Lytechinus pictus: one gene and its partners. The main gene of each other region encodes a partner of the protein of the gene in region 2 in a complex. Links are inferred from orthologs where the notes say so. Each region holds a gene or a part of one and is shown on either strand. Other genes may lie near its edges.

Region 1 (7,952 bases), on a different chromosome or scaffold from region 2:
TTGTCAGTTGATGATATTTTTCTAAATAAAAGAAAACAAGTGACACTTACTTGTGTTTCTTGTAAAATAGCACTCCTTCAATAAACTTCTTCTTGTGATTAACAAGCTCCTCTTTTATCAATTCCTGAAAGACAACAGTTGAAAGTACAGATTTAAGGCAACAATTGTTTAAATTGCAAAAGTGCCCACACTTACATGATGGCTGATGTTGATATCTCCAACATGTATTCAAAGCTATGATGTTAGCAATTACCATTCTAAGTCTGAGGGGAATCTAAATATTAAACAGAATGGTAAATAAATAAAAGTCACTCTGCATCATTAAGTGCTTACCACATAAAGTGTGGGCCAAAAACATAGTATATAGATGGTTAAGCTCTGCTTAGATTAGCATTTGATCACTCTAAACAATTTGATACAAAGTCTTATCTTTAGGACAGAATAATATCTGACTGATAAATGCCGCTATAATCCAGATTACACACCAAAATAGCTAAACTTATGTGTAAACTGTTATCCTCTCTTATAATATTCCATTTATGACTGCTTTTCCAGACACTTTTTCCACCAAAAGTGCTCTTTATTGACATTAGTACCTCTTGTCCCAAAAGTATTTAAGAAAGCTCACCTCTGCTCGGATAGCTGAATGTCCACTTATTATCAGAAGCAATTCCTGACAAGAACTAAAAATAGAAAGCAAAAGGAAACCATTAGCAAGGATATCAGTCAATTTTGATCAAAAATAAATTTTGACATTTTTGCCAAAAATTAAAGTACAAGTCCTAGTCTATACATAAGTAAATTCCTAGGCAGCAATTTATTTTAGTTTTTTGAGATATGAGGGGATTTTCAAGGCAATGCCATTCAAAGATTCCATAAAATTCACAAATCCCATTTGAAACGTGTACTGTACCAAAGCAAACAACAGCTGCGTGCACTCAATATGCAATGCATGGTCAGCAAAATAGTTGTATCTGCATTACATTGACTTTGCACACAGAAAGAGGGATACAGCGTTTTGCTTGATCTCGCACATTAAAATCGTGGTCAGGGTTGTTTTCCTTATGGCGTTTTTGTACAGGGAAAATCTATATCGCTCAATCTGAAATTACAAGCATATAGCTCTTTTGCAATATTCTCTCATTCTTGGTTATGTGTAAAAATAAAATAATAATAATGATAATACATATTACTCAATATATGGCACTTTTCTCATAAGCCAAAGGCGCTGACAATGAAAATAATTAAAACTCTAAAACTATAAAACTGCAAACTACGAAAGAGATGGGTTTTTTAAGCCTTTCTGAAAATCGCTATTGATGGAGACTGTCTTATCATATGAGGCAAATTATTCCAGCACTTATGATGATGGATGATAACAAGAGTATGAAGATAAAAGAAGACAGTGAATTTTTCAAGTAGACATTGTAAATATAGTGGATTAATTTTTCATGATGTGAATTTGCTTAGAAAAGGCCCAAGCCCCTGTCGCAACCGTAGTTTGTAAACAAATAAAAATTGGTCTCCCAAACCGGACCTGAATGGGAGAGTCTTCAATAATATTGGACTTGTGTCTCCAGTAGGAGTGATCATATTTTCACGAATCACCAAATTAACCGTGTTGTTTCTGATCGAGTGATTCTTCTTCTATTTTTCCTCGTCTGCTGATCAAGTCCTCATTTATCCTCCTTCTCTTGATATAATGCTCCTCCTAGACCAAAAGCTTCGGTCTCTGTTATGTTGGCTGTTCCGCTGAACTCTGTTGGCTCCACTCCCCAAATACAGACCGAAGTTCTAGCTCGATCTTTACAAGACTCAATGGCCATATGTTTATGTATTAAGTTCGGATAAAACAGGGAAGTGAAGTTGCGCGACAGCCGAAGTACATGTGAGTCACTGATTTTCCCCCTTTTAAGTTTATTTTAAGTTTATATTTCAGGCCAAAACAGAATAATAATCGTTATTTTGGTACAGTTCTTTTTATATGTTTTTATGAAATAAAGACGAAAATCGATGAGCCCCGTCGATGAGCGAAGTTGGCTCAGTCGGTGAAGTGTCTGCCTGTCGAACCAAAGATCGTGGGTTCAAGTCCACCCCGGGCGGATTACTGAAGCCAGTACGTTGTGTGTAAACGTCTCTCCCCTGTTCCATAGATGCAGGCTATGTTACAGGGAAAACACTCTGTCCCTCGGATAGGACGTTAAATGGAGGCCCCGTGTAGAGGAGAGTCACCATCTTTGCACGTTAAGAACCCACTGCACTATTCGAATAAGAGTAGGGGGAAACCCTGGTGTAGTGGTCCACCTGCAATCCCCAATCAGATATCGAGAGGTGAGCATCTTCTTTCTCCGTGCCATCAACATCTGCGCACTTCCTGCCCGGTTGGCTCCTACTGTGGGGCGTTGGGCAGTATACCCAAAGAAGAAGATGGGGGGATTTTGTATTGTTAACCCCCTAATGGTGGCGGCATGACAGCGAGCCGTCTGTCACTCTGTGTACGACTACGAGTACGAGGAGAAATTTAAAAAAATAAAAAATGTAAAAAAAAATCCTCAAAACAGACAGCTGCCAGCTGTCTATGGCTATGCTCCTCCCCAATCTTCTCATCCTTCTCCTTCAAGAGACCTCCCCCTCCCCTCCTTGAAATTCAGATGTAGATCTAAGTTAGATCTAGCAAGCAAAACTGAAACTGAATTCTGAACATGCTGAAAGAGTAGATTATCACACAAAAGAAGACATGAATATCAATATGTGGGACAATGAATCATCAGGGAATGGAGGATGAGAAGCATCACCATTAAAGGCATTAGAATTCCGTGCATAAAAATAAGATTCAGCATGAAAAATATATCAAAAAGAAATCTACAATTTTGTAGAAGAATTCGTACAGAATAAATGAAAAGTAATGAATTTAACTTACGTCGTGAACACAGCCATGATTTCACTTTTTAGTCATCAATTTCATTCAATTCAATTCATCACCAAAGCAAGGTAAAGCCACTTCTTCGATCGATCGCACGTACATTTTCAACACGCAAACCTAGAGGGCCAGCTTCATTTTTTGCCAGTCTTGTATTTATATGGTGGCTCAGGGGTGACCCGACAATTGCTCCGCCGACATCTGCTCCGCCGACAATTGCTACGCAAAATACGACAACTGCTCCGCCGACAATTGCTCCGGACAGTTGCTCCGCCGACAGTTGCTCCGTCGACACTTGCTCCGCCGATATCTGCTCCGCCGACATCTGCTCCGCCGATATTTGCTCCACCGATATTTGCTCCGCCGACATTTGCTCCGTCGACATCTGCTCCGCCGAAAATTGCTCCGCCGACAATTGCTCCGCCGATAATTGCTCCGCCGACTTCTGCTCCGATTATACGACAATTGCTCCGCGATAATTGCTCCGCCGACAATTGCTCCGCCGATATTTGCTCCGCCGACATCTGCTCCGATTATACGACAATTGCATGAACATCTTATTTCTCCAAGTTGGTCTATGTTTGAAATGATAAGAAATTCATCCTGATACAAATTGTTTTGTTGGTTTTTTTTCTTGTTATTCGTTAATGTTTTATTTATTTTATTCTCCCCTTATCATCACAGCTTTCTGCTTAAAAAAAACCAAAACAAATCGTTCTCCCTGCCGCTGCCACTTGACAAATTGTAACGGAGAAGGGGAATGACACACTCCCCATTGAAATTGTGAATCTGGATTTTTGTTCATATATTATTATCATTGGTTTCACTCCGGTCTTGAGCGGGGAGAGAAATTGGGGGGGGGGATGCTGGACACAATATCTCTTCTGCTTTCCAGCAACTTATACACCAATACATTCGCACGGGCTCTCTCTCTTTCTCGTTTTGTTCTTTCACGCTGTTTATTTTCATTGATGACCGCTTGATTTATTGTATATTTAGCAGCATTATAATTATTAATATTTTTATCAATAATTTTTATTTACATCTTGGGCCTTATCTACCCTTGCACCTTTTTTCTTTCAATTTGTTCCAAACGAAAGTATGATCATCACTGGCGTACAGATGGGGGAGGGGTGTGCTAGGGGTCACGGATCCCCCCCCCCCCCCATTCTCCCTACCAATGAAAAAAAAAATAAAGGAAAGGAAAATAAATGTAATCCTTGTCTGGCCCCCTCCAATTGTTGTTGTTGGCTCATTACGCTACAGGTGAGTTACTATAAACTAGACTTCGGTTGTATTTTTGTTCTATTCTGTGCAATAGCGACAATATAAATATGTTTTAATAAATGAATATATGTATCTCTCTCACTACGTCTAAACAAATAATGTTATTTTAAAAGACAATAATATACATACCAGTAATAATATAGTTACAAATTCATGAAACCCGATACGCATTAAACTAAATTTATAATGCGAGCACAAAGCGCGAGCTGTTATTGACCAGGAAAATTGTAAACAATGAAGCATATCTCGAGGGGGAGATATCTCATAGTGAGAGCGCAATGCGCTAATTGAATATTTTTGATATATTTCAGAAAAGGGACATTTTGTGATCGTGAACTTGAGACATATTTATGGAGTGGACCAAGCTTTCGCCACTAGGGTTGGGGGGCCGGGTGGAAAAAACATTTTCATCCACATTTTCGCCGATCAGCCGCTAAAAGCGGATTTTTTTTTTAAGGGTTAGTCCTAACTAAAGACTAAAGTTTAAAGTGGAACCGTCGTGATGTGGTGTAGCGGTTCGGGCTCTTGGCTTGTACTTAAACGGTCGTGTTTTCGAATCCCACCTTGGTGTAGCATCCTTTGGCAAGTCGTTAATCCACACTTTGCCATTCACAACCCATGTGCTAAATTGTAAGATGTGAAAGTCATTGTAGCTTGTCCTGCATTATGTGCGCCTAATCGGTGACAGGCTGGATTACTCCCCAGGGAGTGGAGGATGTGCATACGTTGTGTGCGGGAATAGCTGATTAAAATGATGACCGGGGTGATAAATATGTAAGCGCTTAGATACATACCATGTCTTAAGCGAATTATAGATAACCAGATGACTGTTATTATTATTATTATTGTTCTTAATCATTATTATTATTATCATTGTTATTAGTAGTAGTTGTATTATTTGTATCATATTTTATTCTCCTTCCTTTCATTTTTTTTAATATTTCAAAATATTTTGATATCCGTTCCAGAAATTAATCAAAAGGATATGAATCTTGCCAATTAAATTATGGAGGAGCTAAGTGAAACTTTTTTTCATAGGTTATGAAAACGGAATATAAAAAAACACACACACAATCATGTTCCGTATCTTACTAAATAGCGCGATATGCAAGCTGGGATTATTTATAGGCCTACTGGTCTGACGCTCACAGTGGCATAATGAGCCAAAAATGGCTGATGGAACAATAGTTCTAAAAAGATGCGAGCGAGCGAAGCGAGCGAGCATATTTTTTGACATTTTTAATACAGAAATCGAATTTTTTTTTAAAAGAGTTTGACTTAATATTCAGAAAATAATATACCATTTCACCCTTTCCGTTTCATTTTCTTTCTTGTTCATTTTCTTCTTAGGCGGCCATATACAGATGAAGGTATATCATTTATAGAAGAAAATCTTGTTTGATTGATTTGTTTTATTTTGAAACTACATGTAAAATTATATATATCCCCCATCAACAACAAATTGTTACTTACATTATAACATCAGAATGAATATAATTCGACTATTGGCGGACCATATGGATTTTATTTTTTAATTTAAAAAAAAATTAAGTATCCTTTTTCTATCAGTGAAGAAAACAATCATGATCAACATAAAACAAAAAAGCAACTCACTATTATATATTATCATTATCTAAAAACCTACGGTGTATATGACATGATGTTATCAATAAAATGAAATTTCTTTTACCACAATCCTCATTATTTATGCTTTATTCGTCATTGATTTTGCCATACCTGAATTACGGTCTCTTGATTTGGGGTAATACCCATCAAACGTTGATAGAAAATATTTTTATACTGCAAAAGAAGGTTATCCGGATTATTTGCAAGGCTCCAATACGCTCTCATACTAATTCTTTATTTTTCTTTCGAAAACAAGATTTTTTAAAATTAAGGATTTATATTCATTTCAACTAGGTCAGTTTATGTATCAATATAATAGCAATGATTTACCTATTGTTTTTATGACATGTTTCATAAAAATGAGAGCATTCATAAATACCCAACTAATCAATCAGATGAATTCCATTTACCGCTTTTCAGGACGTTCAAAGTCAAAAATACTTTCATTTATGAAGGCCCAAAATTTTGGAATTTCCCTTCATAACGACTTAAAGAATTCCCCCTCTCTGTACACTTTTAAAAGAAAGTTAAAATCTTTCTTACTGAAATCCTATAATCACGTCTAAAAAATACATCATCACATATTTTTATCTTTAATCACCGTTCCTTTTCACTCATGCGCTACGTTGCTTCTGTTTGTCTACACTCCTCTCCCTGTAGTTCATTATGCAGTTCTCACATTCATTCCCCACCCCCCCCCCCCACCCCTTCCTCTCTCTTTCTCTCTCATTCATCCACTTTCTTTCTATACAGTATAGAAAGAAAGTGGATGAGAAACAGTAACTGTTTCTCATTCCTGAGTTTTTTGCGTAATTTTCGTATATTTTGGTTATTAAATATTTTCTTTTAATGATGTCTCCTGTTGGTAATCATGGTTTATATTTTGATTTGTATATATAAATTTATTTCTCGCATGTCATATTTTGAGGAGCCCACAATATACAAGCTTTGCTTTTAAGTGGGATCCTCCATTTTCACAAATTATAAATCACAAATCCTTTACACATGATTACTTTGTATGTAATTTTCTTATAAAACGTCTTTTTCAAGTTGATTTTATGACCTTGTTATATTTTTTTATGATGTTGACTTGTTATGATTGTATTTATTTGATTTATATTTTGTTGAAAATTAAATAAATGAAATTAAATGTGGATGTGGAGACCAGAGCACTGTGTATACGAGAGGATATGGAAACCAGATTGGAGGGGTGTGCCGAGAAGGTGACACGACATGTAGCGTTTCACAAGTTGGTATTTTCGTGAATATTAATTTTTAATTACTGAATGTCTTGGTCATGTTTGTGAGGAACAAAATTTGCCGACAGTAAACATTTTGCGTGACTAGAGTACAGGTTTTCGACAAAAAAGGTGGGGTACCGTTGAATTTCACCTGGAGCAAATATCTCCACTTCGGAGCATATTTCGCCAGAGCGATTTTGACGCTAAGAATGGGGTATATCTAAGTTTTTTTGTACTATTATAATAATTACATGAAAACGCGTATTTTATTTTTTCATTCTAATCACCAGGCACGTGATAAAACTTACACAAATGCTCCCCCCCACCATGAATAAGAATTAATAATATCTATCCCTCCTTTGTGCTTACCCCTTTTTTCTATTTCTTCCTATATATGCATGTATCAGAATTCAGGAGCCGCGGAACCGTGGGGCTTCAGCCCCCCACTTTTTTCCAAAACCGTGTACAAAAACGTAAAAATGACCATATGATTGCGATTTTTAGCATGGTCAGCCCCCCACTTTAGACTCATGCAGCCCCCCACTTTAAAAACCGTTCCGCGGCCCCTGTGTATGCCATGTAATATATCATGCAAGCATTATCGGAGCAGTTTACAGCGGAGCCATTTTCGGCGGAGCAGATGTCGGCGGAGCAAATATTGACGGAGCAGATGTCGACGGAGCAGATATCGGCGGAAAAATTGTCGCGGAGCAATTTTCGGCGGAGCAGATGTCGGCGGAGCAATTATCGGCGGAGCAAATGTCGTATAATCGGAGCAGATGTCGGCGGAGCAACTATCGGCGGAGCAATTGTCGCGGAGCAATTGTCGTATAATCGGAGCAGATGTCGGCGTAGCAACTATCGGCGGAGCAATTGTC
Region 2 (7,000 bases):
TTGAATTTTCAAATTCCGATATCTAGAAGTCGAGTTATTGTCATCTTTGTGATGAAAAAACAGGCCTTTTTGTGGACAAAAGAAGATTGCGAAATCTTATTATTCTCTTTGTTTTGGGCATGGCACATTTATAATACATAGCTTATGGGGAATTGTACAAGCTTTTTATTTAAATCTTAAAGTACTCAGATTGATTTGACATATTGGCATATGATTTCTTTGGTTCAAGGGCAACTACCCCTGGACGATAACCCCCCACCCCCCCCACCCTCGGACAATTTCCCTCCCCCCACCCCCACCCACCCTGGACAATTACCCCCCCCCCCCGGACAACTACACTTTACCCCTATCCAAAAATCTACACCTAACCTAACCCTATTTCGGGGGTAATTGCCCTGTGGTAGGTTTGTGCACAGGGTAAACATGACTTGATATTGATTTTCTTTGCTTGAACATTAGAAATTAAGTTTTCAATGAATATAATTTGTAATCAAAGAAAGAGAATTAAAATAATAATCTTAGGATTTCTAGAAAAAAATAAAAACAGATTGATTTCAATTGTCTATTATCTCATTATTGTCTTGTTATTATGGTCTCAATAAAATTGTTGATATTATTATTGTCTCATCATCGTTTCATTATTGTCCCAATTAGTATTATAATTATAATAATTATTATTATAATTATTTTTGTTTCATTAATATTATTTTCTAAATAATTATTACAATTATAATTACTATCATAGTAATTATTGTTTAATTATTTCATAATAATAATTATTATTGAAATAATTATTAGTCTCAATAATTATAAGGCCTATAATTATAATTATTATTTTTATGATTATAATTATAATTATAATAATTTTTATAATAATAATTATTGATGACTTATCAATATTACTGTCTCAGTAATTATTACAAGTACAATTACTTTCATTATAATTATTATCATTATAATTATTTTATAATTATTGTAATAATAGTTATTTGTCTCAATAATTATAAGGCCTTTAATTATAATTATGATTATTTTTATAATCATAATAATTTTTATAATAATAATTATTGATGACCTTTCAATATTACTGTCTCAGTAATTATTACAATTATAATTACTTTCATTATAATTGTTATCATAATTATTTTATAATAATTAGTATTATTGTAATAATAGTTATTATTGTCTCATTAATTATAAGGCCTATAATTATAATTACTATAATTATAATTGTTTCTACAATTATATTTATTTTAATTATAATGATTATTATTATAATGATTATTATTGATATCTCATTAATATTATTGTCTCAGTAATTATTACAATTCAAAGTACATCATTATAATTGTTATTACAATTATTTTATTATAATAATGATTACTGTAATAATTATTATTGTCAATAAATACTAGAATTGATGTCTCAATAATTATTACAATTATAATTATTATCATTATAATTATAATTGTTATTATTATAATCATAATAATTATTATAATTGTCTCAATGTTTATTGTCTCATATTATTAATGTCTCATCATCACTGTTAATTGCCTCATTATTGTCTTCTCTTACTTTTTCATAATATCTTCAAATTAATAATTAACACCATAACAAAGGTCCATAAATCAGATATCAAATTCATGAAACACATCTCATGTATGTAAACCTATTTCTAAATTAAATTCATGCAAGGAGCTTTCTGTGCCATTCAAAAATACGACTTTCATTAACAATACCATATTCTAGACATTCAGACGCATTCCAACAAAAAATCACATATCAAACAAAATTCTTGAAGTTTACTTGCAGTTTTGCTCTTAATACTTATTTCACACGAATTCTACAAAATTATTTTCAAAATAACAATTTGATTTTCATAATTAACAGAGCTCAAATCGTAATTTAAAAAAATATACAACGGCTGAAACATACTGTGTCTGAATACCAAGACTAATCTCAGGCCCAACGCAGTGGGGATGACGTCACTCACAGCTGTTCGTATACGCTCAAAACAACCCTGCTCGATCGGCCGAGTCAGATTCACAAACACCTCATGACACTCAAAACTGAAGCTCAATTTGATTAGAATTTCACAAAATGTTCTCAAATATACAATTTTATTACTGACCGAGTTTACAAGGGATCCGATGATTACAAGGTGATTTCAAGCAAAGAAAAATAAATACCTGAATATTAGGTCCTTCCCTCGCATGAAGGTAAGTTAGACTCCGTCTTGTATATTTCCGATGTTTACCGAAGATGTACGAAGCAACCGCGGGAATTTTTGACCAATCAAAATCAGCGGAATAAAGGAAGAAACTGACTCTGTCTTTTCGAGCAATGCCGAATGCAACTCCAGCGCTCGGCCAAAGTGCCGAGCGGAGCGAACTGTGTGTGTTAGATAGGCGCTCGCCATTCACTGCAATGCAAAAATCTACGTCTAGCGCTGTGTCCGCGTGGTCGCCCGCCCGACTGAAGTGCCTAGTACCAGAAAGACAGAGTCAGAGAGGAAATGAAATTGGCTTCATATCGTTTGGTTTCATATCCAAACTTCAAAGCTTATCTTATTTTAAATAGGTAGGCCCTATCTATTTCAAATTTTTAGAAAAAAATTAATAAACTTATTGCAAGTGCCGTGCCAGTGGTTATCCTGTGCACGGCGGCGGTAATGTACCCGTGCCGTGGGTGGATCTTTCTCAGACTCAGATGTAACTGGCATCTTGCACACAAACATGAAAATACATGAATGGGACTACCATTTTCAATTACAATACAAAATCACGTTATGATGAAATAACGCGAATACCCTCTTACCTCTTGTGAATTTTTTGCTCTTTTCTTTACAGATTCGGCAAATTCGTCAGCCTCATGTTTGCTGCGATATGTTCGAGACATATCTGTTGATTAGATGCGACAATAAAACGATATAATCGCTGTAAAATTTCACATTTGAAAAGAAACCAAACGGCGGATGTGACCTTTTCAAACCGGTGCGCTTCAATCTTAAATGTTATGGTATCTTTAAGAATTAATTCAAATCAGACGGTTAATTCTGCGAGTAGCTGCCGAAACTTCATAATTCACCGTGAGATGAAAGGCCCAGGGGAGGGGATCAGTGGCGTAGCTAGGATTTTTCCCAGGGGGGGGGGGGCACTGGGGGGTCCTTGCTTTTTCAGGGGGGCACCATTTTTTCCGTTGTGTGTGTATGTGTCACAAGGGCGGATCCGACTTTGGCCAATAGGGGACGGGGCCCGAAATTATCTTCACCTATATTTCCCCCGATCAGTCACTTAGTTTTATTTTTATAAAAGAACATAAACATGAAATAATCTCATAAGCCTTATAAAAAGTGCAAGCGCGAAGCGCGAGCGATTTTTTTTGGTGTTACTTTCATGTATTTCGTCCTGAAAATGATTCTGGGCAATGTTATGTGTGATCCGTGAACAAGATTCGTATGTAACTAGATGGTTACTGCGATCGAACGCCAAGCGCGAGCAGAAATTTTTATTAACTGTTCTAGCATTATCGAAAAGGGACCTGTTAAGGACTGCTTACAGTTACCCACGAAGACGGTATATATTTCAATAATGCGAGCGCGAAGCGCGAGCAAATTTTTTTGACATTCCGACATAAAAAGTGGTCATTCTAAGCACTTTTTGTATTAATAAATGGGATAGGTATGTAACTAAACAATTGATGCGAGCACGAAGCGCGAGAGGAAGAAAAATTAGATTTTAGACCTAAAAGCGGGACACTCTATTCATATTTTGTAAATCATAAATAGGATGTAGTTAATTGGGTATCATTATTTAATGCGATCGTGAAGCGTGAGCATACAATTATTGATATTCTGATGTGAAACTGGATAATTTAAGTACATTTAATATAAAGAACATGCAGGCTATCGCACATGATTTAGATTTAGACCTAGAATCTGGGCAGTCTGAATACATTTTGTTTAATGGAACATTATGGAATACACGTAGACAATAGGAACTTGGCAAATCAAACAATTTGACCACGCAGCGTGAGCTAAAAAATGCTGATATGTAGACTAAAACAGGGACATTTTACAGCTAGAGCACTTAAATTTGTTCATGAAAAAAAATTGATGAAAGCTCGATGTCCGAGCTAAAATATATTTTGTACATGTATATTGACTTCAAAACTTGCTCCATATCAGCCTATTGAGCAAGATATGAATCTCATCGAACAGGCAATTCTGGCGCGAAGCGTAAGCAAAAGTTTTATATAGTAACATGAAAGATTTTTTTTTTTTTTTGCAAGTCTTCCCTTCACATTATTTCATTCACTCGTCTTCCTCCTTTTTATTTTCCTTTTCTTTTTTTCTTCTGTCTTTCTTCTTCTTTTCCTTTTTTCTTTTCTTCTTTCTCCCCCTTTTTTTTGCTCTGCCAATTTTTTCAGGGGGGGCACCTGGGGGGCACACCAAATCTCAGGGGGGGGGGCACGTGCCCCCCCAGGCCCCCCGTAGCTACGCCACTGGAGGGGATCGAGTGGCACACCTCTGTGGAGAGGGCAGGGCCCTAGACAATGGCGGCGGAAGCCCCAAAAATTAGGGGGGACCAGCACATTTTTTGACAAGCAAACAAAAAAGAAGGTTATCAACCAAAATTTTAGGGGGGGGGACCAACAACAAAATTTGACAAACAAAAAAAAAAAAAAAAAAAAGGTTATCAACTAAAATTTTAGGGGGGACATGTCCCTCCCGCCCCCCCCCCCGCTTCCGCCGCCTATGGCCCTAAAAACGATTTTTTTTTTTTTAAACAGGGGGTGCAGGATAAGCTTTGACTAGTTCCAAAAGGGGTTCTCATTATAAAATGAAGGCCATTTGGAATGATTTTTAATTTTTTTTTACTGGGGTGCTGGTGTGTAAATCATTTTATAAGCAAAAAAAAAAAGGTTTTGAATACATAATGGAGAGCAAATTGGTCCCGAGATTAGAGAAGCAGGGAAAAAAAGAAGAACAGAAAAGGAATTCACCACAAAAGAGAGGTCAAATTGGTCCCGAGAAATTTCAAAAGCAATTAAAGAAGAAAAAAAAAGGTTTCAATAAAAAATGAAAGTCATTTAGGTGACATTTCTCAATTTTTACACAGCTTCCAGAACACTTTGGGGCCAAGCCTATGGAAAATAATACACGCAGCACCCCTGAGGAAGTTATGTTTTAGCGGCATCCCCAGCACCCCCGCTTCCAAGGGCCATGCCATTTTGCATGGTCGATCACGAGAAATTTCGCTACAAAATGAAGGTGAGCTCAGCAGGTCTAGTGATCCAGGAAAAGTTTGACAAGCAAAAAAGAAAAAAAATCATTACAAAATAGAGGTGATTTTGATTACATAGCTGCATGCCTAACAAATTTCCAGGGGTCACTGCTCCCTATAACACGTACGAAGCACTCCCGGCACCGTTCGCTCAGTTCCAGAGAGGGCCATGGAAGATCGAGGGGGTGAGGTTCGGGAACTTATCCTTTCTTCATATTTTCACGTCATGGTGCCGTGGCCGAGTGGTCTCAGGCTCCTGGTTATACATAGAAAGTCCGGGGTTCGATCCCCGGCCGCGGCACCTATGCCCGTGAGCAAGGCATTTAATGTACAATGCTCTTCTATCCTGCTTTCAAATAAATAGAAATGCTATATGCATTGTTGGTAACTTGGTGTGCACTTGTTTAAAAAAATATCTTTACATTATACTTATAGTACCAACTACTACTCAATGACCCAGCTCATCACCCATGCCCCCCCCCCCCCGGAATAAAGAGAGAGAAAAACCTACTCAACTAGGCTTATATTTTATTTTTATAATAGGCTAAAATAGGCACCCATCAAACCACTACTGGATACAACAATACCAAGTTAAACAAGCTAAAGGAGGCATTGGCGGCGGAAGCCAAACAATTTAGGGGGGACCACCAAAAATTTTTGACAAGCAAAAAAAAAAAAGTTATATATCAACCAAAATTTTAGGGGGGACCGACAAAAAATTTTGACAAGCAAAAAAAAAAAAAAAAAAAATCATCAACGAAAAATTTAGGGAGGGGGGGGGGGACCGCCCCCACCTCAAATTTAGGGGGGGGGGTACACGTCCCCCCACTTCCGCCGCCTATGAAAGGAGGTACTGCCGGATTTTATGAAAATAACTAACAAAACAAATTCCAATTGATATTAGGTAGCAATGACATGGATCAGTGGCGGACCCTGACCCGGAGGAGACAAAGTATTGGAGGGGCACTGTATTGTTTGTGAACAATGCTGTGCCCCTCCAATGCTTTGTCTCCTCCGGGTCAGGGTCCGCCACTGACATGGATATTAGCAAAATATGTGTTAAAGGAATAAGTCATATAAGTGGAGAAACTAAGGATGCTTGAAAGAAAAAAGATGATACTATGCTTATTGTATATGGGTGTATTAATGTTTAGGTATATTATGTATGTGTGTGTATATTTATGCATTGATATGTATCTCGCATTTAACATTTCATCGAAGATTGGTATTTTTTGTTTCTTTTTTTTCTTTGTTGTTGTTTTTTGTTTTGCTATGAATACTTTGTTACTATGTTATGCTTATGTTGTATTAATTTTTTTCTTATGTTTCTTTGTTTTTGATGATGATCCTTCAATGTCAGGATTTTATATCAATAAACTTTTTTTGTATAACATACGCGGGAGGGGGGGGGGGGTATTGAATGAGGGTGCTCGTCAAAATATCCAAAAAGGGAGTCTAATTATAACATGGCTGGAAAGAAAATAAAACATATTCGATCAGAGATTAGTATGAAAGTTGCACATAAACTGCGACATTTTGCATGGTTGTGAAAGACTTTTCTTATTTGTCTGAAAATCTTGTACGGATAAAATGCTCCTCGTGAGAGGAGATTTTTTTGTTTATCTATTTATTATTATTTTTTTGGGAGAGGGGATGTCACTAACATTTAGACAGAAATTCGGGCCCCCTAAATTTTTCACCCCATGCACCCA
Region 3 (7,258 bases), on a different chromosome or scaffold from region 2:
GCGAAGCGCAGCCTGATTTTTTTTTTAATTTAGACCTAAAGTAGTAAAGAGGATTGTTTGTAAGAATTCACTAAGACCATACATATTTCATTTTAATAATGCGAACGTGAAGCGCAAGCTTAACATTTTGGACATTCAGGCCAGAAAGGGGGGAATTTAAAGAACTGTTTTTTAAGAATTCATGAAGAGCATATCTCGCCAATCCATGCACTAATGCAAACATGCATAAGCACGACTAGAAATGTTTTATATTCAGACCTCAAAAGGGGGCGAGGCATGAGAAAGAAGTATATATGTCACTACATAAAAAAAAATAACTTAATAGGCCTATTTGACTTGAAACGTGATGTTTTAACAAAAGGATCAATAAACAGACAATGCGAGCAATGCGAGAACAAATTATGTTTTGTGACGTTATTATAGGCGTAGCTGGGCTCTATAATACAATAACATAATGATCCAATATACAGGGGCGGATCCAGCCTTCGCCAATAGGGGGGCCCGGAATTTTTTTTTCAGCCATATTTTCCCCGATCGGCCGCTCGAAGATGATTTTTGCCGGGATTTTTGGTTTCTTTGAAGGGGTAGTCCTAATAGTCACTTCTTAGCTTTATTCTTATGAATAAACATAAATATATAATACCATAATCCTTATTCACATAATGCGAGCGCAAAGCGCGAGCTAAATTTTTTTGGAAATCTTATGTATTTTTTCTAAAATTTTGAACATATTTGATTCTGGGCAATGTATGTTATCATGAAAAAGATGTGTATGCAAATTAATAATTACTACGAACGTGAAGCGCAAGCAAAAACGAACTGATGGAAAAAGTACTGTTAAAGACTGCTTGCAGTTAGCCATGAAGACATTACATATTTTAAAAATCAAATAATGCGAGCGTGAAGCGCGAGCTGAAATTTTTTGACAGTTTTACCTAAGGAATGGAAATTCTAAGCACTTTTTGTTAAAATAGAATAGGTATATAACTAAACAATTGATACGAGCGCGAATGGCAAGCTGAAAAATTCGAGATTTAGACCTACTGAACGAGACACTCTATTCAGGTGTTGTAAATCGTGAAAAGGATGAGTAAGTGGGGATCTTCCTTACATTAATAATGCGAGCGCAAAGCGCCAGCAGAACATTTTTATATACGTTTTGAACTGATCGAAAATGTACCTGTTAAGGACTGCTTGCACTTAGTCATGAAGACATTACATATTTCAACATTCAAATAATGCGAGCGCGAAGCGCGAGCTGAAAAATTTTGACATTTCTACGTAAAGAATGTAAAATTTTAATCAATTTTTGTAATCGTGAACAAGATAGGTATATAACGAAACAATTGATGCGAGCGCGAAGCGCGAGCGGACAAAATCGAGATTTAGACCTAAAAACGGGACACTCTATTCATGTTTTGTAAATCATGAAAAGAATGAGTAATAGGGGGCCTTCCTACATTATAATAATGCGAGCACAAAGCGTGAGCAGAAAGTTTTTTATATTGTGATCTGAAACTGGATAATGATTTAAAGGTCAAGTCCACCCCAGAAAAATTTTGATTCGAATCAATAGAGAAAAATCTAACAAGCATAATGCTGATTTCATCAAAATCGGATGTAAAATAAGAAAGTTGTGACATTGAAAGTTTCGCGTATTTTTCTCAAAACAGTTATATGCACAACTCAGTGATATGCAAATGAGAGAGTATATGATGTCCATCACTCACTATTTCTTTTGCTATTTATTGCTTGAATTATACAATATTTGAAATTTTACAGAATTGACAATAATGTAGAACTTGACTGAACCACATAATGTTAAACAATGTTAATTCAACATGTTCAGGAAGGAATAAAACTCGATTTCACATGACAAGGGGGAGAAAATCAAAATATTTCATATAGTAGAATACAAAAGAAATAGTGAGTGGCGACGTCATCAGTCCCCTCATTTGCATACCAACCAGGATTGCATATAACTGTTTTGTGAAACTTATTAAGCGAAACTTTAAAAGGCCATAACTTTCTTATTTTACCTCCGATTTTGACGAAATTTTCAATGTTATGTTTGTTGGATTTTTCTCTTTTTATTCCAATCCACTTTTTGTTGGGGTGGACTTTTCCTTTAAATAGAGAACAAGTTGACTATCTGAATAAACATGCGCGCGCATGTTTCATATTTAGACCTAGAATCTAGGCATTCTAAATACATTTTTTATTATGAAAATCAAAGCGAGCGCGAAGCGCGAGTTTAAACTATTTGATATTCCGATCTGAAAAAAAGAGTCAATTTCAGCTCTATATTTAAAGCACTTTGTAGGAAAATTGTGAGGTGGATATGGATCGCACTTAATAAAGAGCTGATATTTTTAATAATTATTACTTTGAGTTTTAACATAGGACCGGGACATCCTTAGGATATGCAAATGAAAATGATGACTATCTTCCTATTCCTCTTGTTAAGTGCGAGATGAAACAAAGGGGACAATTTAATTATTAAATGAATATCTCATTCATTAATGCCTAATGAGGGCGCGAAATCTGATGATATTATGGCCTGAAAACTGGACATTTCAAGAACTTTTGTAATTATAAATATAGGATGCATCAAGTTAATATATTTTAACCATTAATGCGAGCGCAAATCGCGAACCAAAATTTTTGATGAACTGTCATGAAAAGGGGATTTTAAGTTGTTTGTTGTATAATCAATATTGAGAAATATATAACTCGCCAATCAAAATCTAGCTGATATGTTTTGACAATACACCTGAAAAGTGATATTTTGACAACTTTATGGAATACACGAAAATAATAGGTACCTGCTAAATCAAAATTTGCGAGCGCGCAGCACGATCAGAAAATGTTAATATTCAGACTATAAAACTGACATTTTTATAAAGCACTTTTTAGAAACAATTTGTAAATCACACAAAATAATGAAAGTTCGATTTCCGAGGTGAAGTATGTTTTGTATATTCACTTCCAAACTTGCGAGCGCGAAGTGCGAGCGAAAATTTTATACAGTGACATATGAAAGATTCTTTTTATTTTCCAAGTCTTCTCCTCATCATATTTTATTCACTCATCTTCCTCCTCTTCTTTTTTCTCCTCTCTTTTCCCCCCTTTTCTCCCTTTTTTCGTTCTTTCCCTTTTTTTTGCTCCGCGCCAATAGGGGGGGGGGGGGCGGGCCCCTCGGCCCCCCCTGGATCCGCCTATGATCTACAAATTAATTTCTTCTTCCCCCGCTACGTTTCTCTTTAATTCTTTCTCCCCTTTTCTCCTTTTCCCTTTTTGCCAGCCGTCCCCCGTATACGCCTTCTATTGTAAGGTGAGTAAAAACAAAAAAAAAACGGTAGTTATGTGCGAACAGCTTTTGTCTAGAGTCTAGACAAAAGCTGTTCGCACATGACTACCGTTTTTTTTTTTTTTGAAATAGGTCTACCGTCTAGACTCTAGACTAGACGGTAGACCTATTTTCAAAAAATAATGATATGTCACGGCTCCAGTGCAAAATAAATTGAAGTGGTCAATTCGTACTTTATATTATGTACAGTTATTTTTATGTAATAATACTATACTTCTCAGAGAAGGTAGTGATGGTTTATAAGACTTCACAAATAAAAAGTTAAACTGAACATTAAACTTAATAACTTTTATAATTTTTGATGGATTTCCCACAAAACCTCCACCTAACGTTAGATCTTTTTAAAATTATTTTACAACGAACGCTGAGGTAACTTCCGTGGAGCGTTTCATGAAAGGACTTGTCTTATCCGACAAGTATACCCAGTTGTTGTGTGTCCGGACAGGTTGTGTGTCCGGACGATCAGTTTTAGAAAGTCATTTGGAAAAATTTACAAGCAAAGTTTCATAAAATGTTTAGTACGAAATGTTAGGTAATATTATAGAGAACAAAACAGAAGATGATTACAACTATTGAATTCGTATTTTTAGTGTAATCCAAAGACAAAAAAGAAGGCTTCAAAAATATTAAGTGTCCGGACACCCCACCCCCCCATCCTTTTATCCGACAGTTACTATGGTAACAGTGCCTCTCATCCTATCATTATGAAGGAAAGTTGTCAGACCTGACAACTTGTCGGATGAAAATATTGATGAAACGCTCCCCAGATCATAGAGTTAAATAGAAGCTTCCGATCCCTTTTTAATTCAGCATGCACGGCCGGAGCGTGGCGAGCGCACGACGCGTGGTACCGGTACGTTCAGTTCAAACGAGTTGGACGAATTTCTAGTAAAATGGCAACACTCGCGGCGGGAAAGAAAAATGTGCGAAAAAAAGAATCAGCTGTTCGTCCTCCAGACCGTATTTCCGGTTCTTTTGTTGAGCCAGGTGATACCACAATGGCAGATATTTGGAAGGTTCGTTTCATCAATGTGGAACATTTGATTTACATGAATTTCTTGATATCTATTAAGTTTTGGGTAGGCCTACCCGACAGTCATTGCGTTGCCCCACCTACTCATTTTTATGTGTGTTGACTGTTGTTACTTGCGAATTGCGGCCAGTGGCCTAACTTAGTAACTAACGACGTTAGATTCTAACGACAACGTTACGTAAGTTAGGCCCTATGGCCTATTGCCCACTCGCACTAGTACGACTACGAGGCTAGTATGTATGCTCTACTAATCTCGTATACCGAACTGCGTTTGGCCCTGGATTAATTAAGTAGGCCTAGACGGTCGACGGCAAGTCATCGCTTCATTGCAGAAAGTATGCATGATTGACGTTTATCTTGTCGGTAAATCCTATAAAAAAGAGACAGAAAAAGAAACTATAGACTATAGTCTAGTCTCTAGACGACTAGAGGGGTCTATCGTAAACTACGTCTACATTTAAATATTGATTATTGAATATAGTATAGTGCCCAAAAATGTTGGACACTTCTTAAGCATAATTGGACCAAAACAAAAAGGCAATCATTGATGACGTTTATCAGTAGAGGTGCACAGCCAAGCCCAAGCAATATTGGAGACTATCTCCAATGTGGGAGAGTATCTCCAATATCAGAGACTTTTGTAAAGAATTTTGGTATCCAATTTTAGAGACAGTCTCCAGTTTTGGAGACCAATTTCCTTTGTTTACATTTGCTGCAAAAGGATTACCTTGGCGGCAAATAAAAATGTGATAAGCAGATTCCTCATGAGAAATTACCCCTTTTCACCGTCTACTTAAAAAATTCACCGTCTACTTTTGTCTTGATAAGGATTTTTGTTGTCAATCACACACAAAACAATTGGGCTTCTGACCTCAGTGAGACAAAATTTTGGGTGGAAAAAATCATGCTTTTGTTGGTGTTGTTTCTTTTGTCCTTTTGCAAAGCAAGTCTCCAATGGCAATGTGGGAGATTGTCTCCCCTATTGGAGAGAGTCTCCCATATTGGCTGTGCGCCTCTACTGTTTATTTCCGTAGAGGGCGTATTATCCGGCCTCCCCTTATCCAGATCTATTTTTGGACGCACACTTGCCAAGATTTTTTTTTTCAATTCAATCTAGTACGTTAGCTTAGGAAATGAGATTTCAATCTAAACTCAATCCTATAAAGTATAGTAGGCCTATACACAGACTCACTTGGATTACATATATTTTCCAATATAGTCTACCTACATACCGGTACAACAACATTAAGTCACTATTTTTCATGAAAATCACAGAAAGAACTTGGGCAGGATAATTTTATCACGTTCTCTTTTTTTGTTTTTCCCGGGAAAAACAACGCATGTCTCGCTAGCTAACACTAGGCCTTGATACGGACAGCGCCATCTATCATGTTTGAGCCTACAGTCATAACAATGGCTGACATTGCGAAGCTGCGATAGCCGCGATGATCTAATTGTAAAACTTTCATTGAGTCATTTTCTTTATTTCGAGGTATGCTCGATGTATACCTCACTCATTTTAGCAGGTAAACTATCGAACAATTTTGGCCATCGATCGATTTCATTTCCGTAAAAATACCGCCTATAATTTGCACTGACACTGCAGTGAATACTGTCTGTATGCCCACTACAATAGATAACATGTAGCTACAGCCATTAATGTTGGGGAGGTAGCAGCTGCGTGTATTTAATATTTATTGGGTCTCCCAGATCTGGATAAATCCCTTATCTGGATTGGTGCTGGTCCCAACGTGTCCGGATAAGAGAGGTCGGACTGTATTAAATTGTTTTAGAATAAAAAAAAATTATGGTAAATGGAAATTAGTTTCAAAATATCGGACGCGTAGAGTTGTGCACCCTGATCAATTTCGGGGCTTTAAATCGCGCTCTAGACCCCAAAATAATTGCTTAGTTGTTAAGTCCAATATCGAAACAAAGTGTAGCAAGAGAACATGGTTATTGGAAATCACTGTCATCCGACCATTCCAAGGTAACAAAGTTGGACATCCTGTATGGATTTTCTGATTTCTTTTTCTTCTCTTTGCCTTTCTTTCCCACAGGAATGAATGCTCCAGGGTGCCGTAACTTCCAAATGATTCCTTGGAAGTTGTCTTTGTCTTCTTGCTTTTCTTCGCTTTCTGTCTATTTCTCTGTGAGTAGTAGCAGGAAGGTGATAACTGAGATGATGCCAGGCGCTTGGTGGTAGTTGGGTTTGGCGACGGTGACGATGCTTGAGTGCGGGAAATACGATGATCCGGTTACTCCCCCGCTCCACCATCCCGAAGATCCATATTTTCAATCCTCTCGGATCGCAGCGGTGATACTTGGTATGCCATCCAAAATGGCTCTCGTCAATCTCCACCTCTCCTCGGAGTACTTCTGTCCCTCACAAATTTCCGGCATTGGTCACGGAGGAAGTTTGCCCAATCCACCGCCGATTTGTTGTAGTCCATTCCCGACTCTACTGCACATCTGTGAAGGAGGTTCCAAGCTTCCATTCCCTCAGAAAGATGAATATTTCCTTGACATCAAAATGGACTCCTTTGAAGAATGAATGCTTATGAACAGAAAAGTTCCGCTCGTGTTGCCATGTCACACTTCCCCAACACCGCCATATCTTTCCTTCCTTTTAGCACAGTTGACAAGTTTACAAGGTCTTGTGCAAATATCACAGTAGATTTGACTGACTTGCAATCAATCTCTTATCTTGAAATCACTTGTAAAGAAAATTGTTGCTCTGGGAGAGTAAAAGATGGAATGAAAAGGGATTCCTTAAATGCTGAATATCCAGTAGAGCTGGATCCTTTTTCCTCATAGACCAAGCCATCGTTGCCTTTTCTTCAGTTGTGACTGTG
Region 4 (7,810 bases), on a different chromosome or scaffold from region 2:
AAAAAGACTTTGGACTTATATTACAATTTTTGAAACAACCGGGTCTGGAAAAAAGACTTTGGACGTATATTATAATTTTGAAACAACCGGGTCTGGAAAAAGACTTTGGACTTATATTATAATTTTTGAAACAACCGGGTCTGAAAAAAAAAGACTTTGGACTTATGTTACAATTTTTGAAACAACCGGGTCTGGAAAAAAGACTTTGGACGTATATTATAATTTTGAAACAACCGGGTCTGGAAAAAGACTTTGGACTTGTACTATAATGTTTAATTAACTGGGTCTGGAAAAAAGACTTTGCACTTTTGTGCTATATGAACGCATTACTGTAGGATTTTAGTTCAGAACGGATTCGCCAAAAAATCCCTTCAAATTTATTACATTTGTGGGTAAAGTCATTATTACATTTGTGGGCGATCAAAAATTATTACATTTGTGGGTAAAGTGCATTATTACATTTGTGGGTGAAATTATTACATTTGTGGGTAAAGTGTTATTACATTTGTGGGCGTTATTACATTTGTGGGTAAAGTGTTATGTTATTACATTTGTGGGCGTTATTACATTTGTGGGCGTTATTACATTTGTGGGTGCAACACCCCCCCCCCCCCCCCCCCCCCAGTCTGCATGAATATTGTCTGTATAAATCTGCGCGTCCCGTCTGGAAAATCAAGAAAAGGGGCGAGAGGGAAAAAAATCAAGGAAGGGAAAAGGGAAATAAAATATGAAAACGAAGAGAAAGAAGGAAAGAAAGCAGGGAAGAAAGGGGCAAAGAGAAAGAGAAAAACAAAAGGAAAATGAAATGAAAAACGAAAGGAAGGAGATAGAAAAGGGATATGGTGGGCGAGGTTTTGAGGAATAAGTGAATGTGTCGGGGCCTGAGATGTTGTCCGTTTGACAAAACGATATGAACGAGTTTTCGCTATCACGACGGGGGCGGATTCTACAACATAGAAATCTACTCCCGTCAAATCACAATGAACAGCTGAGAGGTTTATGTCTAAAATTGGTAAACCGGGGCAGAGTGGTCGTTGTACTGAGATTCTGAGCTGATGAACTATTGCAAATATTATGTCGCTCGTCCAGAGTTACAGGACGAATCTTCTCTTTTGATTCATCGATTTTCGACATAGGCTGCTTTGTCCTGAAGGGTTTTTGACAACAGATTTCCTATTTTGTAGCATGCGTCCCCGTCATTTTGCGAAAACTCCCTGTCTGTTACGCAAGCGCAAGCCTGGCGCCTGACAGAAAATTATAAACTGTCGAGTCACGACGGGGTTGTTTTAAGTTCTAACTATAGGCCCTACTTTATGTACCGTTTTCTAATTAGGGCTTATACTTGGTCTTTGAGTTCCACCATCTTTGTAGGTAATTGTCAAATTGCACACTATTTGTTTTTTTCCGCAATGAGAATGTGAGGATCTCTATGTATTAGCCTATCTCAGGATTTAGGTCTAAATAAAAAGTAAATAAATAAAAAAAAACTCAGCTCGCGGTTCTGTATCGACAGTGATGAATGTATAGGTTTTAGGTCTAAATCGCCCCCCAAAAACAAAAGAAGAAGAAAAGGTCAGCTCTCGCTTCACGCTCGCATGATTTATGTAATAAGATCCATTCACAATTTCCCTACATTTTAACAATGCTTAACAGGTCAATACATCGACAATTTCAGCTCGCGCTTCGAACTCGCATTGTTTAATAGGGTACAGACCTGCTCTTCATCAAAAACATGTTTAGAATGTCTAGTGGTCAGGTTTGAATTCACCGTAATTTCAGCTCTTGTTTCGCGCTCAAATCAATCATATTGGTTAAAAAAATTAACCTCATCACTGCAAAAAGTCCTTGGGTGTCCTTATTAGGTTTCTTTAATGCAAGAATGTAAGAAATTTAAGCTCGCGCTTCGCGCTCGCCTTGTTTTATTTAATACCCATGGGCAGATCCAGAGACCCGGCAAAAAAAGGGGATAAAAGTGAAAGTTTTGAAGTCAATATACAAAAACAAATTTCAGCTCGGACACCGAGCTTTCATTATTTTGTTTGATTCACAAATTATTTTTAAGTGCTCTGTAAAATGTCCGTTTTTTGGTGTGAATATCAACATTTTCAGCTTGCGCTGTGCGCTCGTGTTATTTGATTTGCCAAGTAACTACTCTCTTCGTGTATTCCACAAAGTCCTAAAAATATCAATTTTCAGGTGTTTGATTGTCAAAACGTATAGGCCTATCGAGCTTGGGCTGTGCGCTCGCATTTTGATTGGTGAGTTATGTATACTTCTATATTAATTCTATAACAAACCACTTAAAATTCACTTTTTATGACAGTTTATCAAAAATTTCGGCTCACGGTTTGCGCTCGCATTAATAATGTTGTTAATAAAAATATTGTGTTAACCTATGCCGGCATCCTATTCAAATTACAAAAGTACCTAAAAATAATGTCCAGTTTTAAGGCTTCAATATCAACAAATTTCACTCTCTCGTTGATTAATAAACATAATAACATGTTCATGAATTCCTAATTACTAAACTGTTCCTTATTCAGAATAGAAAATAGACAAGTTTCATCCTGCGCTTACTCATCAATGTCTCATCAATGTCATATGATAACAAAATTTCTCGAAAGCTTAGGCCCCTTTTGACTTTCTAATAAAAAAATGTCCTTAGAATGTCCCGGACCTATATAGGTCAAAATGATAATAATAAATATCAGCTCGCGCTTCGCACTCGCATCATTTATTAAGTGCGTTCACATCCACTTTGCAATTTTCCTACACAGAGCTTGAAATAGTGCTTAAATTGACCATTTTGATCAGAATATCAAATATTTTCATTGTTGATTTTGTTGATTTTCAGAATTAAAAAAAAAGTATTCAGAATGCCCAGATTCTGTCCAACTCTAAAACACGCGCACGCATGTTTATTGAGACACGCAGCTTAGTCTAGTTTTTAGGTCGAAAAATTCAAATTTTGAGCTTCCGCATCTTGCTCGTATTGTTTGTTTATGTACCTATCCTGGGGGCCGTTTCATAAAGCTGTTCGTAAGTTAGGAGCGACTTTAAGAACGACTGGTGAACCTTTCTTACGCGCTAAACCATTGTCAATGGTGTATAGCATTTACCAAAAGAAAGGATCACCAGTCGTTCTTAAAGTCGCTCTTATCTTACGAACGGTCGCTTTATGAAACACCTGCACCTGCTCATTGATACTATTCAAAGTACTCTAGAATGTCTAGTTTTGAGTTCGAAATATGAAAGTTTTTTTTTCAACTCGCTTTGTGCTTCATCACTTTGAGCACGATATCCTTCCTGATCATGATTTGAAAATCCCGCTTTTAGGTCTAAATCTAAAGAAACAAAACAAATATATTATTGTTTGTTAAGATAATTCCGGGCATATGCTCGTCATCAAAAACTTGCTTAGAATGTCTCTTCTAGAAGAGACAGAAGAGACATTCTAAGCAAGCAAGAGACAGTCATCCCGGGGGGGGGGGGAGTCAAATATATTTCTGTACACACGCGTGACCAAGAAATTTCCAAACACTCCACGAGTTTTTCTATGTGTGCAAAATAACCCCCTTAACAAGTTTTTCGCGGGCTTTATTTACACATTTTGTCCCCTAAACAAGATGTCGCCGAAATATGACCTAGGGGAAAAGTTTGGGAAAAAACCTACTCTTAACACGTTTGGCTAGTCTTGATAAAAAGCTTTGGGGGGAAAAACATACCCTATATACGTTTGACCCCGCGATTGACCATTGACCAGTCTTTCAAAACCACACTTTGTTTTTGATACCCTTAACCAGTGGCGTAACAGGCGGGGGGCAGGGGGGGGGGGGGGCAAGTTGCCCCCCCCCTGGCGGATTTCACCGGGAAAATAAAAGAAAAACGGGAAAAATAAAAAAAAAAGAGGGAGAAAGAAAGGGAAAGGGGAAGGAAAGGGGAAAAGGAAAGGAGGAAAAGGAAAGGGAAAAGTGAAAAGAAAACGAAGAAAAAACTTTTTTTAAATGGAAAAGGAAGGAAAGCGGAAAAATGTACGAAAGAAGAACATCTGAGAAAGAGCAAATCATTCCGAAATAGGCCTATGTAATGCAATAGCAGAGTGGGAAATAAATTAAAAGATGACAAAATGGCAAACAATTGCGGGAAACGAAGGTAGAATGTAATTAGTCAAAAGCTAATGGACTGCATACAACATTGTGCTTTAAGCTTGCTAAATGCGGGGCTAAATGTTATGCAAATAAAAGATAAATTCTGCCTGATACGCAATATATGGCCTTCTCAAAATAGTCGCCTCATTACACCATAACGCCTGTTCATACCATGATATGACCGGGAAATTTTTGGCCCTTGCCCCCCCTGCAGGCCACCGACCCCTGTTACGCCGCTGCCCTTAACGAGTCCACGCGCGTACCGCGTCCAAAACTGAAAAACACCCCTTTAAACGCGTTTTTTTTTGGGTCACGCGTGTTTACAGCAATAAATTTGACTGCCCCCCCCCCCCGGGACAGTCACTCACTTTTTCCATGCTTTTTTCTAACTCGGGCCTATGAGCTAGTAGTAGTACATGTAAATGTACTACTGTATGGTAGTACATGTAAAAAAGTAAATGGGTACCCGGTAGGAAGGAATTCCTTGAATGCTCGATGCGCCCGATCAGGGTAGCCGTGCTAAAGCCGGGGTAATAGTATGCAGCGCTTAGAAACATTTGTATTAAGCGCTATATAAATGTTGCATATTATTATTATTATTAGTACATGGTAAGTCCCTGTTTACCTTTGCCTAGCTCCTCAGCTGTGATATAATATGCGCCCTCTATTGTTAATATTTTGTGCATGAAGTTGTTTTGAAAATTGAATTTAGAAAATAGGAAATATGAGTTTATCATTGAGGTAAGTGATAACATAATGATCAGCAGCATTGTAATTGCTATATTGTGCCGTATTTTGTTTTAAATCAAAGTTTGGTTGCTTAACTGTAACTTGACTAACGTTTGCGGAATGGCAAAATGCTCTCGCGCTTCACTCTGCTTGTTGAATGTTGCCTGTGTGTTGTCCCACTAATTCATATCTATGTTTGCTCTACTCTAACTGTAGACAGCTGGCAGCCGTCTGTTTCGAGGAGTTTTTTAACTTTTTTTTTTTTTTTAATTTCTCCTCGTACACAGACGGCTCGCTAGCGTGCAGCCACCATTAGGGGACTTGCAATGCAAAATCCCCCCGTCGGGGCTCTTCAATTTTTGTCTTTAATGAATAAAAATTTTGAAAATTAACGCGACCAAAATGCAAATTAATATTCCCTCTAAACAGAGAAAAATCAAGTTAAAAGGAACAAAAACAGTGACTTACCTCGGCTGTCGCGCAAATTCACTTCCCCGTTTTATCCGATCTTAAGTACATAAACATATGGCCATTGAGTCCCCTGTACAGATCGCGCTAGAACTTCGGTCTCTGTATTTGGTGAGTGAAGCCAACGGAGTTCAGCTGAACAACCAATATAACAGAGACCGAAGCTTTTGGTCTACTCTAACTGTTACAGTGTTAGTATAACGACAACGTTGGAATTTATGCCAGACATACAGTTAACAACATAATTATTCAAACCACTACTGAAATTTCAATGTTTCGTGTTTTTTCTGGTAAACGACAGGTGGAGGCAGAATATTTTGGCCGAAGTTGGATACCTTTAGTTTTACTTGAAAGGTAAAATTCTAAATGGGTTTTGTAATACTAATAGTATAGTCACGTATTGTATTACCGGACACTATTGTGATTCCGGACGCGCATATAAATGCGTTCGAAAACAATTTCGTACCGTAAGACTTCCGCAATTCATTTTCACAGATCAATACATAGAACAAGATTGCAAAAACAAGGCGAAAAAAAATCAAATTTCTACCTTATTTATCTCTAAAATGACAGAAAATGCTTAAAATATCATATAACATAGTTTTGCATTAACAATTGAATGAATTGATATATTTTCTTACGGAAATATGGGCCTGATTTGCCGAATTTCAATCTCGTCGGCTCCTTCGATCGAATGATGAGGTGAGGTGTATTGTGGGTGATCGTCGACAGCTAGTTCTCAAGGTACCGTGCGCGAGGTTTACCGTGAGTAGAGCCGTCGACGATCGGCTGCGCATCGATAGAACTTGATGAGCGTCACGATACGAACGAACACTGGAAAGTGCCATGAAACATGCAGCTAACCAAAAAATAAAAAATAAATTAAGTTATCAAACACGAATTTATTACCAACATCTGCTCAGATTCGATATAAAAAAAGCAAACAAAAAGTTAGAATTTATTCATGATATGATATAAGAAGAAAGAAATCACAGAAATTTATTCTCACATCATTATAATCAAGGATATCTTTACCCGTCCGGAGCGCGTCCGGAATCATGATGTAATTTGTCGCGCACGAAAATAATTGTTTTTCGTGGAGGGGTATGCGGCAAGTGCGATGCAAAGAAAATGGTTGGTAAATATAAAATAATTTTATCATATTAATAATTTTCATAATATTTGGAATAGCAAGTGCGAATTTTTCTTGATTGTATTTCCTCTAGTTGTCATTTTTAAAGCACTGAAATAAAGGTGTCCGGCAATAGGATACACTACCATACTACTACTCACTCCTAGTACCAATGAGGTCCAACATTACATGTATGGACCTCATAGGCGACATCAGTAGTATTTTTGGTTAGAAATCTCTGAGAACAGGATATTTATATATTATATCACAAGTACAAGCTATATTCCTTTCTCTTATTTAAATTATAATTTTATAGTGTAAATGCATCGTTAGCAACAACAAAAAAATGAAAGAAATGAAGGGGAACTTACATTTTCACGGCTTTTTCCTGATTTTCTGGGCAGCTGCTCTTCTCTTCTGACTCGCGATCGAAGCTGATATGAAGATCACGTGATTCGCGTTCTCGTCAGCTGATCGGTTGGTTATTCTTTTCGTCAGACGTTAATAATATATATTTTATAATGCTAGCATTCATCGCTAATTTAGGTGAAAGAGATTGAAGTTAAACAGCGCCAGGTCGGAATCATAATTATTTTGGAAGAGTGTATTTATACACTCGATCTCATACCTGACGTAGACGGCGCTATTCAACAAATGCACAATCTTCAATATAAAAAATAAAACAGAAAGAACGCCTTGAACACAGGCCAAAATGCCTAACGATTTCTCCGCGGCATTAACAACTATCGTAAAGGGCGCTCCATTTATCAATAAAGATGGATGCTAAGCTGTCTATGGCGACAAAATTTGCCGCAAATATTTACGAAGAATTGTGAGAAATGGTCTGAAAATGCAACAAAAGAACCGGTGAGTACCGATTAAACATTATCAATTTATTTAATAGAACATATTTAATGACTACAATGTAACAATTTCTAGATAATATTGCTTAGTTCTAAGCTAGGGCGGCCCAAATGCGCGTGAGTGGAGTCCCAGTTTATTAGCACGGGTAAGTATTGGGGTGTCGCCTAGAGTGCTACTACTAGGCCTAGTATAATAATACTAATATTAATAAATTAGGCTTAGCCAATATAGGCTACTATACTAACATGACTAATACTATTGACTTTTGTATACTGCTTTTCTGACGGAGCGTAGACAGAGAGTTGTTATCAATGGCCAGATGTCAAAATGGAGTAGAGTAAAGAGTGGAATACCGCAGGGAAGTGTCCTCGCCCTCGGGCCAACAGTATTTTTGATTTTTATCAATGACCTGCCAGAGATAGTTACAAGTCTAGTCCGAATATATGCAGATGATACCAAAATCTTTAGA

The links. The genes of interacting proteins can lie anywhere in the genome.
Region 1: RANBP2-like and GRIP domain-containing protein 8 (region 2) and nucleoporin NUP188-like share a complex: the UniProt entries of both Homo sapiens proteins name them as parts of the nuclear pore complex. The link is inferred for Lytechinus pictus from reciprocal best matches to the Homo sapiens genes RANBP2 and NUP188.
Region 3: RANBP2-like and GRIP domain-containing protein 8 (region 2) and nuclear pore complex protein Nup107-like share a complex: the UniProt entries of both Homo sapiens proteins name them as parts of the nuclear pore complex. The link is inferred for Lytechinus pictus from reciprocal best matches to the Homo sapiens genes RANBP2 and NUP107.
Region 4: RANBP2-like and GRIP domain-containing protein 8 (region 2) and centrin-3 share a complex: the UniProt entries of both Homo sapiens proteins name them as parts of the nuclear pore complex. The link is inferred for Lytechinus pictus from reciprocal best matches to the Homo sapiens genes RANBP2 and CETN3.

Annotation. Positions count from the first base shown.
Region 1 is NC_087259.1:27,653,710-27,661,661, forward strand, and holds the start of nucleoporin NUP188-like, read right to left. Parts: upstream 3,016-7,952; 5' UTR 2,938-3,015; coding exon 2,921-2,937; intron 684-2,920; coding exon 629-683; intron 125-628; coding exon 51-124; intron 1-50. UniProt on the Homo sapiens protein: Component of the nuclear pore complex (NPC), a complex required for the trafficking across the nuclear envelope. Required for proper protein transport into the nucleus.
Region 2 is NC_087260.1:25,315,411-25,322,410, reverse strand, and holds the start of RANBP2-like and GRIP domain-containing protein 8, read right to left. Parts: upstream 3,024-7,000; 5' UTR 2,902-3,023; coding exon 2,821-2,901; intron 1-2,820. UniProt on the Homo sapiens protein: E3 SUMO-protein ligase which facilitates SUMO1 and SUMO2 conjugation by UBE2I. Involved in transport factor (Ran-GTP, karyopherin)-mediated protein import via the F-G repeat-containing domain which acts as a docking site for substrates.
Region 3 is NC_087256.1:7,090,025-7,097,282, forward strand, and holds the start of nuclear pore complex protein Nup107-like, read left to right. Parts: upstream 1-4,243; 5' UTR 4,244-4,263; coding exon 4,264-4,386; intron 4,387-4,406; exon of another isoform or gene 4,407-4,419; coding exon of another isoform or gene 4,420-4,449; intron 4,450-4,599; exon of another isoform or gene 4,600-4,738; intron 4,739-7,258. UniProt on the Homo sapiens protein: Plays a role in the nuclear pore complex (NPC) assembly and/or maintenance. Required for the assembly of peripheral proteins into the NPC. May anchor NUP62 to the NPC. Involved in nephrogenesis.
Region 4 is NC_087247.1:39,281,652-39,289,461, forward strand, and holds the start of centrin-3, read left to right. Parts: upstream 1-4,795; 5' UTR 4,796-4,872; coding exon 4,873-4,889; intron 4,890-7,810. UniProt on the Homo sapiens protein: Plays a fundamental role in microtubule-organizing center structure and function. As a component of the TREX-2 complex, involved in the export of mRNAs to the cytoplasm through the nuclear pores.